2 linked regions of the Saccharomyces cerevisiae S288C genome follow. Changing the gene in region 1 together with any one later gene gives a genetic interaction. Each region holds a gene or a part of one and is shown on either strand. Other genes may lie near its edges.

Region 1 (3,316 bases):
CATATATACACGTATATAAGATAGTTCAAAGTATGATAGATTAAAGTTTACTTTGTTGTTGCTGAGAAGTAGTGAGAGTGTCAGCAAATCAATACAATGAAAAACATGTCACAACGATCCATGGACGTGGAGAAGAAGGCAGCTAACGCTGATAGTTGTTCCGTAAGTACCTCGAGCATTAATGTAGACGATGCGGACGTTGCTTTAAGATTCCTGAAACAGAACGGTCTCGACGAAAGCTCCACGGCTAATGAAGACGATGTTGTAGCAGGCGAAGAAGCCAACTTCTATGGTTCCCATGAATTATCTCCTAAGGTCCTGAGAAAAGTTGACCTCTTCATCCTGCCCTTTTTATGCTGTACATATCTTCTGATGTTTTTGGATAAGGCTCTGCTGAACTACGCTGCATCTATGGGTATCAAAGATCATTTGAAAGGTAACGAATTTTCTAATTTGGGTACTATCTTTTCTGCTGCTTACATTTTCATGGAACCTGTGGTCACTTACTTAATTCAAAAATTCCCCATTTCCAAAATCCTAGGTACTTTTATTACCGTCTGGGGTATCGTGTTGGCTTGCCATGCTGCTTGTAAGACGTACGCCTCGTTGATGGTCGTTCGTACTCTCCTAGGTCTCTTTGAATCCTCGAGTGCAGTTGGTTGTATCGCTATTAGTGGTATGTACTATACTAAATCTGAACAGAGTGCAAGAATTGGATTCTGGGCCACACAGGCTGGTACAGGTTATATTGTGGGCGGGTTAATTTCTTTTGGCTTTTTACATTATCATGGTACCGCTTTCACCTCTTGGCAAATAATGTTTTTGGTCGTTGGTCTGGTTACAGTTGCGTTTGGTGTTCTAACATTCTTATACCTTCCAGATAACGTCACCAATGCTTGGTTCCTAAACAAAGAGGAAAAAATTCAAGTTGTTGAGCATATCAGAGCTAACCAAACTGGCCTGGAAACAAAGAAGTTTAAGAAGCAGCAAGTTAAAGAACTATTCCTTCATGATAAGTTTACTTGGCCGATGCTTTTATTAACTGCATGTTCTCAAATTTCTACTGGTGCCATTGGTACATTTTCAGTGACCATCACTGGTACTTTTGGTTTCGACAAGTACGAAACAGCATTACTGCAGTTGCCTATTGGTGCCATTACGGCTATGATTATTCTTATAACAACTCAAATGTTGTCCCGCTGGGGTCATATCACACTCATAACCACATCTATGTATATTCCAGCTATTATAGGTTGTATCGTTCTTATCAGTTTACCCTTATCCCATAAGATCGGTAACTTATTTTCTCTGTACTTGCTTTACAGTGGTTCCTGTGTCATTACCAATATTTACATCTGGAATTCATGCAACACCTCCGGTTACACCAAAAGAGTTTTTAGAAATGCTATTACAATGATTGTATACAATGTCTCCTGTATTATTGCTCCACAGATGTTTAGGGCATACTCTGCTCCACGTTACATACCAGCAAAGATTGCCTTATTGGTCACTCAGTGTGTTTGTGTTCCCCTACAATTATACATTGGCTACATTTGCAAGAAGGAGAACGAAAAGCGTGATAAGGAACAAGAAGGTCAAGAAAGGAAGAAGTACCAATTTTTGGACTTGACTGATATCGAAAACAGAAATTTCAGGTACATTTACTAATAATCAACTTTTAATTTACAATATATAATATTTTTAGTCTGTAATATTCAATATTCAAAGACACCCAAACATTCATTGCACTTGGTATTTACCAAAAAATTGAAGAGAAAATTTTTGAGATGACCATGGATGAGGCAATGAAAGTCGAAATTTGATCCCCGCTACTAACTTCTAAACATATCGTCAGGACAATTGAGCTGAAAATGTCTAATCCAGATGATTTAGATGATGGACTCGCCTATGATTTTGATGCCGAACATGAAGTAATTTTTGACGCCAAGGATGGTAGTCCCCCAACCAAAAAGGTACAAAAGAGGTCTATAGAACAAGATGACGATGACGTTGATGATATAGATGGGAAAAAAGAGGAGAGAAATTCAGAAGATGATTCGAATAGACCTATTTCGAAAAGACAGAAAAAGCTACAGAAAAAATCAAAGCTAATTGAGAAAAAGAAAGAGGAAAGCCAGTATATCGTCTCACAACGAAAAGCACTTCCAGCAAGTTCACCAGAAAAAATTATTGAGTACCTAACAACTTTGATACGAGAAAAAAATCCTGACTTGAGTGTTTTAGAATTAGAGGAACTTTACTTCAAAAGAAATGATTTTCTTTCGACAGAAAAATTTGACGCTGAACGCAGATTAAGCAATTTCCCAGCCTTTATTCAAAAATTTTCCGTAGCTCCAAAAAAAATTGTTTTTTCTATGTCTAATATTAGAGTAGCAGACGTTTATCGTAGTCTAAACGGTGGCAAAAATTGCGTCAAATTATTCTCTAAAAGTAAACTAAAGGATGACATAGCCACCGTGGAACGTTTACTTACTGACAGCTCTAAAAAATCAAACAAAAATAAAGATTCACTATATTTTATTGCCACTCCAACAAGAATGCAGAAAATTATAGAAGCTACTGACTTACTTTTCCAAGGTAAGGAAAAGTTAGATATCATTCTTGATGCAAGTTATTTAGATCCTAAGGATAATACTATATTATCATTCGAGAATGCAGCCGTCCTCTGCCAAGTCTTGAAAACCTTTTTGAATAAAAAAAGCTCCGTGAAAATACTGTTATATTAATAATAGCGCTTTTTCACTGAGGTTCTACACATAAGATTACGTTTTTAAATACCAGCCTTAATTTAGTATATTAAATATTTCATTCTAGCATTTGATGGGGTACTTCAAATTATCTTCTTTAAATTGTCCAAAGCCCTTCCAAAAAGTAAAATCAAAGGAGAAACTTCGAGAACGCCTAGGCGCGCAGCAAACTCCATATATAACAATGTATTTTTTCTTTAACTACATAAAACCAATTTATCCTATTTTACTCTTTCCATGGAGTGTATGCTTTTTTGTAGTTACTTAGATTCAGAAATTCAATGTCTTCCCTCATTTTCTTCACCGTAGAGTAGACCATGGGACGTCGTTTTACTTTAGTTTTTGAATTTTTTCAGCGATGCCCGAAAACTGAAAATTTTATCTCATCTCATTCACCTGCCTGCCATATATAGTATTTTCATGGTATAAACTTGGCATTTTATGTCTTCAATCATAAGAGTATAATTCCGGGATAAAAGCTGGAGATATCATAGTAATAATGGCTAAGAGAAATAGATCTCAATTTCGCATTCAGGAAAGGACTGCAA
Region 2 (3,299 bases), on another chromosome or scaffold:
ACCTCTACATCGGAAATATACTCCGTATTCACCAGCGAGAACTCAGTTTATATCATCTATGACCAAGAATACAAATTTACAGAGCGATCGACAACATTTAACACCCACTTTCCCCAAACAACTGTGCTTCAAGAATCAAATCCTCCGTTAACTTTCACCATTCCATCCAATACCATTACCGGGGATGCTAAACTTTATCAATATCTATCTGGTGCACTAAACACTCAAGATACCTCAGATGCCAATAATAGAAGGACCGGAGTTATTGTCGGTTCTACGGTTGGAGTTGTCATTGGAGTTGTAATAGTAATTTTTATCGGATTCATAATTATTAGAAACAGACGAAACGTGAAAAATCACAGCAAAAAGGGCTTTAGCCATGATATTGGCAAGAGGGTAAGTTGTGATGAGGTAACAGAAACAGAAGCACCGTCAAATCCGTTCCTAAATGTCCTTAATTATAAAGTAACAACCAACGGCGAGGGCAAACGAGATTCCTTTGAAAATGGTAGAGATTTACACAGAGCTAGTTCCTCAGACGGTATATATATAGCACATCCTTATTATGGGATGGCGGATCACGAATCCGGGAGATTTTCATACGTATCGTCATACAATGAATCTGCGGAGTCATCCATTGAAGAAACAAGTTCCAGTGCGTCTACTATTACTCGGCCAAATATTCAGCAAACCAATAGCTTTTTGAGAGAAATTATTTAAAAATAGAAAAAAGTGGATTCCAAGATTTTCGTACTTCTAAACAAGGCTGGTACTTGTTGCTATTTCTTTGGAATTATTTGTAAATTTATGCACGAAGCAGATAGAGTTTTATTTATTCAACAGTATTTATATAATAAATATTGATCTTACTATACAACTAGATTCGTATAATCGTCTGTTTCGTCACAGACGGGAAAAGAGGGACAAAAAGAGAAAATGTTAAAAATATTATGGCCTATTTTTTGGCGTTCTTCCTCTTTTGAGCACCTTTAGATTTGTTATCATTCTTTTTCGCATTGTCAACTTTCTCAGTCTTTTTACCGGCATTGGCAGCTTCTCTTTCTTCTTGAGCATAAAACTCCTTTAATCTTTTTTGCAAATCCCAGTTACTGTACCACAAACCAATTTGTAGGATGATAACACCGGCAAACATAACTAATAAAATTATGTTGGAGGAAGCAATAACTGCCAAACCCTGATTTTCCGTAACTTCTCCCCAATTATGGCTCACAGAACAGTCGATACCTGTTTTCACATTAGTGAGAAACACACAGATAGCCAACACGTACAACCCCAATGAACAATACTCAAACATCTGCAGTTCAGGGTTTGGCTTGAAAACCTTAATTGTACCACCAACTAAGCCAATACCGGCAACAACGCACAAAGTAACAATCACCGGCAATGGAGTCTCATGTAAAATTTGGTAATGTCTCAGTGCCAAATCGAAATGCTCTTGAGTAGAGTTAGGATTAAATAAAAGATGATAATCGTATGGCATGTTACTGAAGAAAACACCCATTAGGAACGTTGTGGCCGATAAGATCATGGCCGTACCGATAGAACAGAAATCTGAATATGAGAACATCGTTAGAGTTTTATCGTATCACGGGATTTTATGCTCTGTAGTCCAATGAATTTACGGCTGTCTTCCAAAATACTTAAATCTGTCCTTTCATCAACTTTTTATATTTTTCAGAGTTTTTACACAACCCGAAAAAATTGTTATCGTGTATTAATTTTAGTACATTATAAAAAAAGATGGAGAGGGAAAGAGCCACCAATTACATTGGCGAAAGGTGATGGTGTAAAGTAACGGCAACCAAAAACAATTATGGATGGAAAACTTGGTATGAGAGTACTATTATTACGAACTCCACATTAACTCGATTCACCAAGTCCTTTCCCCATACGTTTACCCGGCATTCCTGAAAATTTTCTAAGATTTTTTTCTTCTTAATCGATGAGCTTAAAAGGTTTTCTGAGAAAATGAGAAAGTAATCTAATGTAGAGGACAGGATAGAGATTGAAGACGTCTACAGCTAAAATGGGGTCCGAGGAAGATAAAAAGTTGACCAAGAAGCAGCTCAAAGCTCAGCAGTTTAGAAAAAGTAAGGAGGAAAAAGATCAAGAGAAAGACGTAAAAAAAGAGCAAGCACCAGAAGGAAAAAGACCCAACAGTGCAGCCGGAAATGATGGTGAAGAACCCGTGAAGAAAAAAAGAAAAACACGTAGAGGCCGTGGTGGTAAGGGCAAAAATGGTAAAAAGGGCAACAGATTTATTGTCTTTGTCGGTAGCTTACCTAGAGACATCACTGCTGTTGAATTGCAAAACCATTTTAAAAATAGTTCACCCGACCAGATCCGCCTCAGAGCTGACAAAGGTATTGCATTTTTGGAATTCGATGCTGACAAAGATCGCACCGGCATTCAAAGACGTATGGACATTGCCTTATTACAACATGGGACCTTACTGAAAGAGAAGAAGATCAATGTCGAGCTAACTGTTGGCGGAGGTGGTAACAGTCAAGAGCGTCTAGAAAAATTGAAAAACAAAAACATCAAGTTGGATGAAGAACGTAAAGAGAGGTTGACAAAGATGATTAACGACGGCAACCAAAAGAAAATCGCCAAAACTACCGCCACTGCAGCTCAAACCTCTGGAACAGACAACAAGCCTGTTCCTGCAGGAATTCATCCTGATAGAGCCAAACTACTTAAATGAGTACAAATTTAATTTTATACGCCATGTATCTTAGACAAAAAGAAAATAAAGGGAAAAACATAAATAATCGTGCAGAATCATGCTACTGCCAAAAAAAGAAATGGCAAAGATGCCCAATACGTAAACTCTTCCGGAAGCAATAGCGCCGCATTATTACCGCTGCTCTATTTCACTTTATCATGAAAGACGAGACGGCTGGTACTTTTTTTTCCCCAAATCGGAGCTACTTTTCCGCACTTCAAGTCCGGTGGGAATTTTTACTACTACCCCTTAATCAATGCACTCCCCCCGCAATGACGTACAGGGGTAACATGTCTAACATTTAAGGTTACGGCTGTTAGCATATTGGGGGTTATTTGAATTATAGGAACGCCAAGAAAAAGGACAGAGGGTAAAAACATTCTCGGTGCTGCCGGATTGCTTATTAAGACGTATCCGTTAAACAATCTCCGCTTTTTTTTTTGTCTAACAGCCGGCTCTCTTTGGCTAGTCTCCATCCCTTCGTCACCTTCGGCTGTGGTCACACAATAAGGAAAGGTGCAAAAAAAAAAAATAAATACGAAAATCTGGAAAT

The links.
Region 2: mutations in CMS1 (region 1) and NOP6 together harm fitness more than expected from each alone (negative genetic interaction), as found in Saccharomyces cerevisiae (2 studies listed by BioGRID).

Annotation. Positions count from the first base shown.
Region 1 is NC_001144.5:156,286-159,601, reverse strand, and holds CMS1 (Cms1p), read left to right. Parts: upstream 1-1,871; coding exon 1,872-2,747; downstream 2,748-3,316. Other genes in the region: THI73 (Thi73p), read left to right, coding at 97-1,668; NOC3 (Noc3p), read left to right, coding at 3,268-3,316. UniProt on the Saccharomyces cerevisiae protein: May play a role in the regulation of DNA replication and cell cycle control.
Region 2 is NC_001136.10:76,715-80,013, reverse strand, and holds NOP6 (Nop6p), read left to right. Parts: upstream 1-2,047; coding exon 2,048-2,725; downstream 2,726-3,299. Other genes in the region: YDL211C (uncharacterized protein), read left to right, coding at 1-720; SHR3 (Shr3p), read right to left, coding at 956-1,588. UniProt on the Saccharomyces cerevisiae protein: Predicted to be involved in rRNA processing.